3 linked regions of the Cricetulus griseus genome follow. The protein of the gene in region 2 interacts with the protein of the main gene of each other region in a pairwise test. Links are inferred from orthologs where the notes say so. Each region holds a gene or a part of one and is shown on either strand. Other genes may lie near its edges.

Evidence for each region.
Region 1: the proteins of Glp1r (region 2) and Slc15a4 interact in a protein complementation assay, tested with the Homo sapiens proteins (2 studies listed by BioGRID). The link is inferred for Cricetulus griseus from reciprocal best matches to the Homo sapiens genes GLP1R and SLC15A4.
Region 3: the proteins of Glp1r (region 2) and Cd81 interact in a protein complementation assay, tested with the Homo sapiens proteins (2 studies listed by BioGRID). The link is inferred for Cricetulus griseus from reciprocal best matches to the Homo sapiens genes GLP1R and CD81.

Annotation. Positions count from the first base shown.
Region 1 is NC_048597.1:107,118,004-107,122,079, forward strand, and holds the start of Slc15a4 (solute carrier family 15 member 4), read right to left. Parts: upstream 2,801-4,076; coding exon 2,234-2,800; intron 1-2,233. Other genes in the region: uncharacterized protein LOC107979701, read left to right, coding at 3,760-4,076. UniProt on the Homo sapiens protein: Proton-coupled amino-acid transporter that mediates the transmembrane transport of L-histidine and some di- and tripeptides from inside the lysosome to the cytosol, and plays a key role in innate immune response.
Region 2 is NW_023276806.1:259,293,847-259,297,346, reverse strand, and holds part of Glp1r (glucagon-like peptide 1 receptor), read right to left. Parts: intron 2,679-3,500; coding exon 2,582-2,678; intron 1,189-2,581; coding exon 1,081-1,188; intron 1-1,080.
Region 3 is NC_048596.1:58,334,413-58,338,347, forward strand, and holds the start of Cd81 (CD81 antigen), read right to left. Parts: upstream 2,801-3,935; 5' UTR 2,566-2,800; coding exon 2,500-2,565; intron 1-2,499. UniProt on the Homo sapiens protein: Structural component of specialized membrane microdomains known as tetraspanin-enriched microdomains (TERMs), which act as platforms for receptor clustering and signaling.

The DNA.
Region 1 (4,076 bases), on a different chromosome or scaffold from region 2:
AGTTTGCTGCTTACTTTCCTGTTTCTGTGATAAACACCACGTTGAAGGCAATTTATACAAGGAAGGGTTTATTTTGGGCTTAAAGTTCCAGATAAGAGTTCATTATGGCAGCAGACATGCTGGCTAGAGCAGCAGCTCCAATCTCAAACAAAACCCACACCCCAGTAACATACTTCCTCCAGCAGAGTCACACCAAATCCTCCCCAGTCACCAACTGATGACCAAGTATCAAAATGTATAAGACTTATGAGGGCCATTTCACCACACCTAGACTTAAAGGACAGAGCTAATGTGCTTTTGACCCTGTGTCTTCAAGGTGCACTAGTGGGACAGAGGCCAAGGCCATGAGTCTGGGCTTGAAACTGCCCCTGTGTGAGAAGCACCTTTCATAATTCTAAAGTAGCAACTACTTTTGTTTATATTTTACTTTTATGAGTCGTGCTCCGCAGCCCATAATAGCCTAGAACCATACTGTCTGAGCTAGCTTTAAACTTGTGGCAATCCTTCCTGCCTCAAAATCTTAAGCACTAAGATTACTACTACTTCTAATATAGGTGAGATGTGTCCTCACTGAATTGGTCAACCTTAGAACCATGTAAACAAGACTTCTGAACATGGCCCAGTTCTATATTCATGGTGCTACTCTCTGAGCAAATGATTTCACCTTGGTGACTTAAATTTCAGGCCCTGAAGGATCAGTTTAGTGCTGACACCCAGAGCTCACCTTTCCTGCAGCTCACAAACAACCCTCTATCTGGCACTCCCTACCCTACCTAGCCCTACCGCCCTCCTCCCATGTCTGAGTCCATCCCTTTACTAGGAGACTGTCTCCACTCTAGACCACACCTCTCTCATTAGACCAGCTGCAGCCAGAGCTATGCTATCATGCACCTGCCACACAACCCACTCTCTAAGGCAGCCACCTGCAATCTTTCTGCAAAGGAACAACGTGTGTTAGGTTTTAGGAGACATCTATCTGGCCTCTGTGACTACTCAATTCTACAAGTCTAGGAGAAGCAGAGGGGATGAGTAAGCAGGAAAGAGCAGGACCTTAAAAAGCTTTATCCACAGAGCCTGCCACTCAAGCCCCACATAATTTCCACTGCTTACAAAATACTTTATTTGCATTTGACCACTAGATCCATTCTTAGCCTGTGAGAGCCCTAAAAGGGGAAGCTGAGCAGATGAGGCAGTCAGGCGCTAGCAGATCACTTCTGCTCTCCAAAGCTCTGGCTCCTCCTCTGTCTTCGTCTTGGTGGTCAGAGCAGCAGCATGACATTGAACTTTCCTACCCAGGCCACTCCAAAACTTATTTAAAACAATAAAGACCAAAACTAAGTGCTTGCCCATAAGTTTGTAAATGGAAAACTAGTACAGTGACAGCCCTCTGTACGTGTCTGTCCTCCAAATCTCTAACTTAAACCTTTTTTCCTTCAGATCTCAACTCAAATGACCTCACCATTTGAAAAGTCCCTTCACTTTAAAACTGCCCTGGCCATCACATCACACATAATCACCTCGTTAGGTGAAGCCCTTCCTACCACCCAGATCACACCTGTTTTTACAGCTTTCTCCTGTCTACTCAAGGGCTTCCACCCACACTAAAGGCCAAGTTCCCCCAGAGCAAAGGATGGGTGTGGTTCCCTCCCCTCCTTCAGTCCCTGACCAAATGCAAGGGCAGATGTGGATACAGGCTCCCTCTTTACCAGTCAAGAGCCTCTTTCGAGGTGTGGAATGGGTATTCATGGGTTTCCTCCCCACCTGGATTAGAAGGAGCCTTGCTCTCCTCTCCCCCTGCCCACTGGGGCAGATGGATTTCCTCCCCACTCTGCAAGGAAGTCCCTTCAGGACAAGTCTCCTTCCTCCATTAAGTAGGTATCAAAGGCAGGTGACCTTCTCTGCACTACAAGAGAAGTGCAGAGAAGCCAAGAAGTCTTCCCTCCACACAGCCTTTATCTTTCTCTAGATGCGAGGTGAGGGTGAAGGGTTTGGGGCGCTTAGTGGACAGCTCCCTACTTTCCCATCAGTCGCGCAATCAAGTGGGGGTGTAGGTTTAGGTACGTGGGGTGGCTCGTTCTTTCCATCGGTGGAGAACACTGGGGCACTCGCAGGTACGCAGAGTACCGGGGCGGTCGGTCCCCGTGTCCTCAGCGTAGGGCACTTGGTGCAAAGTCAGGTATAGGCTCAGGTAGGCGTGGCGCTAAACCGGGAGGACAGGGACGGCCCGGCTCACCTGGTCCGCGCCGAAGGGCGTGATGTTAGCCTTGACCGTGGCCACACCGAGTCCCACGAGCACGAGCCCCACGAAGGTGGCGGGAGCGCAGCGGCGCGCGGCGGCATAGGGACACACCGCCGTTCCGTTGGGGAAGGGCGCCGAGCAATTGCGGACGAGCTCGGGGCTCGGGTCCCCGCAGAGCGCGGCGCGCGAGCGGGGCGCGGCCAGCAGCGGGAAGGCGAGCATGCCCAGCAAGTAGAGCGCCAGGCTGAGCAGGATGGCGCGCGCCCGGCCGAGCAGCGCGTCGGCGAGCCATCCCCCGAAGGGAGAGCCCAGGTAGGTGAGGCCCATGAAGAGCAACAGCGCCTGGCTGGCCTGCGCGCCCTCCCAGTTGAACGGCGCGCCATTCAGGAACAGCACCAAGTTGGCCGTGACGCCGTAAAAGGCGGCGCGCTCCAGCAGCTCGGCCAACAGCACCGCCCCACACGCCGCGCGCCGCCCCGCAAACACCCCGGGTGCCGCCGCCGCCGCCGCCGCCGCCGCCGCCCGCCGCGAACTAAGAAGCGGCGCCCGCTCACCCTCCATGGCTAGCTAGCTCCCTGAGGGCCGGCTTGCCGAGCTCTCGCGAGAATGTCCTCCCCGCCTCCTCTCTATTGGGCAAGAGGGGAACTTCCGTTCCCGCCCCGGAAGTGGTACAAACGCGTGGCGGCTGTTTGTTGCCGAGAAGGCTGTAGGTACCGTGGTTTCCCATTGCTGAAAGAGTTCCACGGGGAAACTCCAGCTCTGTGCTTCAAGGTTCCGGCACCAAGGTGGTGTCCTAATCCAGGTCACCCGCGTGTAACTCTCCCCTGCTTCCATCTTCTCAGGTACCGGGGGCAGGTCTAAGCCTTAGTCCTCTGAGAGTCTCGGCGTTCTCCCCCTGTCCTCTAGCTTCTCTCTGTGTGTGTTCAGCTGCAATCTGCAGCTCACCCGTGCTTGATCCAGCAGTGGCAATCCTCCCTCTCCAGACCCTGCCCTTTCAGAAAAACCCGCCAAAAAAGTCCAGGTCTGCGGTGGCGGTGGTGGCTCCTACCCTAGCAGTTGCTAGTTACTTAAGACCCCGCCTAAAAGCTGCCATACTTAGGCACAAACACAGCTTGTGGAGGACTCGTCACCACCCCTGTGCCTACAGGACATTTAAGTCCCTTCCTTTAGACTGGCCATGTGATTTTTCTCCTGCCCCCTTCTCCCACCTCATCTCTGGGGACTGGAGGATCACCTGGGAATGCTTTGTCCAAATAAACTTGGTCCTTTACTTTTTAATTCAGCTCGATCTGGCTTACTGTGTTGGAGGAGAAACCTGTCAAATTGGTGCCAGAAGCCCCGGAAGGAACTGAGCCTTCGGTGCTGGACAGACCAGGTTCACCAGCCACGTGGGAGGCCACTCTTCTTTTTATCTTCCTCTCTGGCAGACGGGATCTTTGCGCCGGGCAACACCAATCCGTTTAGGAGAAAAGACCGTCTTCGGTGGATGCATTGCTCTAGTCTCTGGCACAGGCTTGGAAATGGGCAGCTGTTGGTCTAAACGAAGCCGTTATTCAGTTCCAGAGTGTCTACTACAAAATTTATCCAATTTATCTGGGGACTTGGACCGTGACCACTCCACCCTGATGGTGCCATCTGAGTCTCTGGCATCTCAACCCCTCCCTCGAACCCTGTCTTCTCCCCCTCCCACACTGCCACAAGGTCCATTCAGTGGCCAACCTTCCCTTTCCACACCCCTATCCCCATCTTCCCCCTCTGGGACAAAGGTCGAAGGCCAACTTCCTTCCCCTTGCCTACCTTCCTCTCTCCCCCTCCCTCCTACTGCCTCTCCTCCTTC
Region 2 (3,500 bases):
CATCAGGCAAGCACATCCCCCAGGCAGCAGTTACGATAGGACTGGACACAGATATTCAATGAATGTTGGCCTTCATTACCTTATGAGGTATCTTTGCTGGGCTGGGCAAATGGTTCAGTAAAGTGCTCGTCATGCAACATGAGAACCTCAGTTAAGTCCCACAGAATTCACCATAGCATCCATGTAAGAAGTAGGGCATGATAGCATGTGCCTGTGATTTCAGTGCTGGGAACACTGACTGGCAGATCCCCAGGGTTCACAAACAAGGCGGTCAACCCTCAGTTGACCTCCAGTCTCTACATGGAGGACTGTACTTGTGGACCCACACCTGTGCATACACACACACACACACACACACACACACACACACACACACACACACACAGAGTCAGTCAGTCAGTCAGTCTTTCCCCCCCTTTTGGACACTGGGACTCCTTGCCACTAGAATGTTTGTCCTCACTATCTCCCACAGAGTCTGTGCATGGGAACTGGGATAGAGCCACAGGCATGGGCACCCTGGCCCTCGGGATGGCTAGTGAATCTCCCACCAGGCCATACTTTTCCCAGTGTAGTCTCCCCTGCAGGCAATGGTGGGCTGAACAAGGTCTGAGGGGCCAGCCTCACTGTGGTCTTGAGCACTGCTACCTGTGAACCTTAAAAGAGTCAGGAAGAGCTAGCTGAGTTCTCTCTCTCTCTCTCTCTCTCTCTCTCTCTCTCTCTCTCTCTCTCTCTCCACACACACACACACACACACACACACACACACACACACACACACACACAATCACACCAGGCAATGACATTCCCTGGGTATCTCCTTCCTGTCCTCCCTCTGCGAGGTCAGAAGGGTCTCATTTCTGTCTTAATTTTTACCCCACCCCTGCCTGCAAAAGCATCAGACTTAAGACACCCCAGGTAGTTCTGAACTTGCCACTGCTGACTATCCAACCACCATTAAAGGGTGGTCCACCCTCCAGGGGGCTTGAGGATATTCTGGGCTGCAGGAACTGGGTCTCAGAGGAAAGGAGGCCATGTCCTATCTTGCCCCAGAGCCCTGGGAACAGAGAAGGAGACACTCACCACTGCTGGCCCAGGGCAGGTACCAGGGACAGCTGACATTTACAAAGGAACCTGGGGGTCCATCTGGCCAGCAGGCATAGTCGTCAAAGGTTCGGTTGCAAAAGAGACCTGTAGAGGCAGTAGAGCAGTCTGAGTCCCAGGCTGTCATTTATTCTTCCTTCCCATGTCCTCCCCAACCAGTGGAAGCTGCACTCTGCTCCCCAACCTCTGCAGAGTGATCACTGGACACTGAGCACTCTCCCCACAGGGATCACTACACACTGAGCACTCTCCCCACAGGGATCACTACACTCTGAGCACTCTCCCCACAGGGATCACTACACACTGAGCACTCTCTCACAGGGATCACTGGACACTGAGGACTCTCCCACAGGGATCACTGAACACTGAGCGCTCTCTCATGGGGATCACTGGAAATGAGCATTCTCCCCACAGGGATCACTGGAAATGAGCATTCTCCCCACATGGATCACTGGAGGTGAGCATTATCCCCACAGGGATCACTACACACTGAGCACTCCCCCACAGGGATCACTGGGCACTACTCTCACACAGGGATCACTGGACACTGAGCATTCTCACACAGGGATCACTGGACATTGAGCACACTCCCCACAGGGCAGGGACCAAGGAAGGACCCTATTACTCATCAGGGTCAGAAATTTAAGCGAGTTCTTTAACAGCTCTTTGTCCTCCTGTGTGGAATGCAGGCATGCCCTGTTCCACGGAGCTTTGTTACATGTTGTGTTACATGTTGTGAAGAAGGAATATAAAAAGGGCTCAACAGATATCACCTATAAGCCATTTTTGAGCTGTTCTTCACAGACAGGAGGGAAATGCTGGCTCATGAGGCTGAGAAACCCTTCCCCAGATCACTGTGATGATCAAAGACAGGATTTGAACCCAAGCCCAGCTGACTCCAATGCTGTGACCTTTAAACCATCCTATAAACTCCCTAAAAGGTTTACTCCTGCTGGTTCAGTTGGGAGAATGCTTGCCTAGCATGCCTAAGGCCCTGGGTCTGGTCCTCAACCCTGCATAAGCCAGGTGTGGTGGTATACAGGCATGGAATGCCAGTGCTTGGGAGGTAGAGGCAGGGGGATCAGAAGTCCAAAATCATCCATGGCTACATAGTGAGTTGGAAGGCAGCCTGAGCTACATGAGATCTTGTCTCAAAACATAAAGATTGGTTTGTATAAATGCTTCCATTGGGCCTTCAATCTAAACACAGTTAAGGAGAGCTGAGAAGAACACAGAATGGAAAGTGGGGTGCCTGCTCTAGAGGTAAAGACACTAAGAAAATAGTACCCACAAAGCTGCCTGTTGGAAAACTGGTGGGAAGGGGTCAGGAAGGCACCGCATTAAAGACACAGTGTGGTCACCAGGACAGAGGCCCAGGCAGGCAGCATTCCAGAGAGACAAGGGGTACCAACTATGGCCCCGATCTCAAAGCCTCCCCAGAGCTCTGTGAAGTACAGGCCTGAGGGCTCATGGGACTCACCTGTGGCCAGAGGCGGTGTTTCAGTGAGGAACCGCTGGCACTGGCGTCTATATTCTCGCCATTTCTGCACTGTCTCCGAGAGGGACACGGTGGCGCCCTAAGAGGGAAAGCAGAAATGGAGGCTCCCTGGCTACAGCAGCCCCTTCATCCCCACTCGCGTCCTCCCATCCTCTTGGTTTCTTAATCTCCAGGGGACCAAAGCTTACCAGGAATTTCTGAAAGGGGAGAAAGCAAGTGACTGCCACTTTGGGGATCCAGGCAGGACCTTTTTTGTGGTTATCCCGCCCAGGGGACCATGCAAGGCTGATGTATAGTAAGTATCCAGCAAGTGTCTAGAGGATTAGTGCTTAAGGAGTTGGGGTGAAGGAGAGTGTTAAGGAGACTATATGACTCATCCATGGTCCCATCTGCCCTTCATCTACCCTGAGCAAGGAGACACTTCCTGAAGGAGAAGGCTGCATCACAGCCTGGGGCTCCTCCCCGCCTGCTGTCTGGTCATGTAGGAGTTGTCATGCTTCCGACCATTCTAGGAGAGTCAGAAGACTCCATCAAAGGCACACAGCATTTCAGGAAGCAGAGCTAAGGTTGGCACACAGTCATCCAGCTCAGTGACTAACCTGCAGCACCCCGGGGATGCAGGACACCCGAGGATGCAGGACATGGCCACACTGAGGGCATATAAGAGCCAGAATTATCACTCACTCCTCCTGTCAGACTCAACTGCTGCCCTAGGAGGACCACAGACACCCCCCCCCATGCCCCAGTGTCTCTTCTAACACAATGCAGATCTGATATTCAGCCTGGCTTCTAAGCCTCAAGAGGATAAGAGGTGAGGAGGGCAGGGTGAAGACAGAAAGGTCCAGAACACTGAAGTTGTGCCTGCACTGGGAGGTGGCCTCCCACCTGTGACAGAGGGCTG
Region 3 (3,935 bases), on a different chromosome or scaffold from region 2:
CTGCTTCTAAGAGCATCTTACAAGGTCTTGGCTGAATCTGCTCACTGCTCATCTTTCATGTTTGTGTCTTGTCCCATGTATCTTGGGAGTCCAAAACTCTGTTGATCCCAAAGTAGGCTCTGAACAAGACAGGTCAAGTGTAAGTCTCAGTCCAAGGACTTCTGGGCATGAGAGCATGAGTATATAGGCTAGGGTGCCTGGGATGTCCCCTCCCACAGAAAAACCACTTTAATCTCTAAACTGGAAATTTTAAAAAGTGCCCATCAAGACATTTACTGTCAACCAAATCTCATTTCCAGAGCTCTTAGCTTCCATACCCATCATGGGCCCACAGGACCTCTCAGCCCCCTCCCCAGGCACTTCTTACACCATTACTCAGCTCTCCTTGGCCCAACTCCCTGTTGGACACTGTGCCCAGCATCCATTTCCTGAGCCTTCTCTATGCCAAGCCCCTTGCTCTGCTCTGGATTGCATTAGCTAGTCTGCCCTCAATCCCAGGAGACAGAGACCCCAAGAACTCCCACTTTAGAGGGAGGAAGTAGAGGCTGAGGACCAGAGCAATGGGGTGGGGCTTCCCAAATGCTCAACTTCATGGCATCAGGAAACTATCAGCCATAGGACAAGCCTTGCCATACAGGGTACAGAGGAAGCCCCTCCGCCAGTGTGGTGTTCACCAGTTGTGGCCTGGCTCTGCTCCATATCCCTGCCCACTGTGGGGACCAACATGGGTGGGGAGAAGTCCATGGAAGGATATGGTTTTCACTGTCAGTAAGCATGCCCCTGGGAGCAGGGAGAGGCTTCAGAACTGTTTCCTGGAGCCTCAATAGAGAATATCCCCAGGGATGTGTTGGGACTCTACCCCAGCTGCCTGGGAAACAATCAGCCTCACCCAGCCCCAGCTCTCCAGGGAGCCTAAAGGGCTACCAGCTTGATCAGGTAGGTGGGCCAAAAAAGAAATCCCTGTAGGTTCCTAACAGCCCACATCTGGGGCTCAAGGGCCAGCAGAGTGTGCATTTAACTCCTTGCATGGCTCAGAGAAGACAAACAAGCTACCCAGCCAAGACCGCAGGACATGCCCGGACAGAGCAAGCTTAACCCCATCACCTGTGCTGTTCCCTGGGGTCATTGTGACTGACAACCAGGGTCTCCTCAGCAGACCACACAGCAAAGTCCCAGCTGAGTTCAGTCAGTCTCCGCTCATCTCCAACATCTTCTGCCCCCCTACCCCACCCTGACCCACCCATGGATCTTCAGCAGTCCAAGATAGAAAACAGGTGTCCCCTACACTCACTCTAGGGTCTATCTTACAAGTTTGCCCTCCCTGCTTCAACTTTAGAGACAGACTGTTCCTCATAACCTCATTTCTTCATGGGAAAGAGGAGGATGGAGGGAACAGCAGTCTGTGCACTGCAGGGGGGAGGGTGGCAACACTGTCTAGAGGAGTGGCCAGCACTGCCCACTCAAGTCCCTGCAGGCAGGTCCGTTAGATTCTACCACTCCTCATTCTCAAACTAGTCAGGAAATGGAAACAAGAACACACCACCAATGGTCACTCCCCAGCGGTGAAGACAGTCAGGACCAAGGGACCCCTGGAGACCCTCTCTATACCCAAGTTTCCATTCCAAGATGACCAAATTGGTGTGCACCTCTTTTCAAAGTGGAGAGCCCAGCTCAGACCCTATCTAGCTGAAAAGATCTCAAGCTCCCCCCCCCCCCCACCCCCGGTTTGTACACACCCCATCCAGATCTTTGCACTACCTTGGCCTGCACCAACTATGAACTGCACACCCACTTCCTCCCAAAAGCCTCCACAGAACCTTAGGGCCAGGCCAGGGCTGTAATCTGTGCGGGAGACGACAGACTAGGAGGAGGGGCAGCTGGGGGGTGGGCAGGAACTGGGGCATGCTGCGCAGAAGCACGCGGGCCACCCTGTCCTTCTCTAGGCCCGGAGCTCGAGCCTCCCAGGGTGGCAAATACCAAGCTGGAGGGTAAGCAAGGGTGGAGTAATAGTGGGGTGGACGTCTCCAAGGCAAGTACCCAGTGTGCCCCCACCACTTCGAGGCCGCCCATCTAGGGGCGGTGGCTACGATGAGCTCATGGGGGCGGGGCGCCAAGATCCCGCCCTTCTCAAGCCCCCTCAGTGTTCGCGAAGCAGGATGGTCCCCAAAACAGCGTTCACGAGGGTGCTTATACCCCCTCCACAGCTGAAGGTTCCAGGTTACGTGGCTCTAGCCCGCAGACCCTTGCACCGGTCCCCAGCACTCATAGGCGACAGGCCAGCGATTCCCTGATTCCCCGACCCCAGAAGACCCTCGAGCAGAGGCCCGGAAGCTCAGCTCTTGGCCATAACCCCGTTGGCGAGGGACGCCAGGCCCCCCGGCCGGCGCACGGAGCCCACAGGTGGCGCCGCAACTTCACCGCCGCGCTGCGCCCTCAGTTGGGCCTAGCGTACTGGCCGCGGAGGGTTCGTCCCGTCCCCAGTTCCCAGTGGCTGCTCACCCAGAAGATGAAATTGAAAACGAAGAGCAGGTATTTGATGCATTTGGTGCAGCCCTCCACCCCCATGGCGGCGCGCGGCCTGCGGAGCTTGGGCTTGTCCTGGAGCGAGCGGGCTGGGTACGCAGGACTGGGTCCGGGATTGGCAGGTGGCCAGGGGCGCTGGCGGGCCGGGGAACTGGGGTGTCGAGAGCGAGATGCGGGGTAGAGAAGGGCTGGAGGCCTAACAGGAAGCGCGAGAGTCGCTACCGCTCAGAAGCAGGGGCGCGCTCGCTTGGACCGGGTGCGCGCCGAGCTCCGCACTCTTTATAGACCGCTAGGTCCCGCCCCTCCGAGGCCCCGCCCCGAGGACGCTCCGCCCCAGGCCCCGCCTCCCGCCTGCGGGTGTGCCTGGACAAGGGGTGCTTGGGTGCTGCCACCTCAGTCCCAGGGTAACCGTTGGGGAACTCAGTACAAATGGTTCTCACGGTCTGCTTGAGCTGTGTGTGCGCAGGATGTCCCCAAGCTTTCTGAGGGCTCACAACTCCCCGGGGCAGGCTGCTGGGTCTCTGCCGAGGACTGGCCACAGGATACCCCTTCCCAAAGAACCCCGTGGTACTTCCTCCCTTACTCGGGCGCCTTGGACACCTCCCCAGTGGAGGTGTCGCGACAGGAAAAGATCTTAAAAGTTAGCATGCTTTGTGTCTATATCTCTTAGGCAGCAACTTGGATGCATCTGAAGGTCTAGAATGGAATTCTATGTCGCCTGGCTAATCCCATGTCCCACAGATAGAATCCCTGGCTGTAATTCTGGAAACTGCCTTTAGGAAGTTCACTAGTGTACCCAGTGTCCCTAGCCAATCTTGTGGCTGAAGCACCCTCAGGGGCACCTTCAAATACTATATTCATGCTATCCTGGCTTGGCATCCTTTGGATGGCTCCCTGAAACTTAGAAAGTGAGGAAAGATTGGGGGGGGCTCCCTTCCCACTTGAGGAATGTCTGCTGTCACCATAGATGATATTCCAGTACCAAAAAGTTGTACTGAGATAAATTTTTGGTACCCCCTCCCCAAACTGGAGGACAGCCTGGCTGTTTTATGAGGAGGGACTCACTGGGGCCAGTTTCCAAGTTTTTCCAGTTCACTCCCTGTTCTTAAAACTTTGAGTAGTTAAGGATATGTTCCCAACAGGGCTCACCCCTGGCACCCCTCTGGCTACAGGGGAGTGGAAGTTTGTTTACAAAGGAATATGTATATTCATTTTAAGACAGGTTTTTGCTAAGTAGTCCTGGCTGTCTGGGAACTCACAGAACTCTGCCTGCCTCTGCTTTCCCAGGTGCTGTGATTATAGGTGTGGGCCACCATGCCCAGTAGTCTAAAGAACTAAAATTTGAATTGTGTATGATTTACATGAACACCTGATGGCTGGCCAGTAGCTTCCTGGGTGGGGCTACTCTTCTG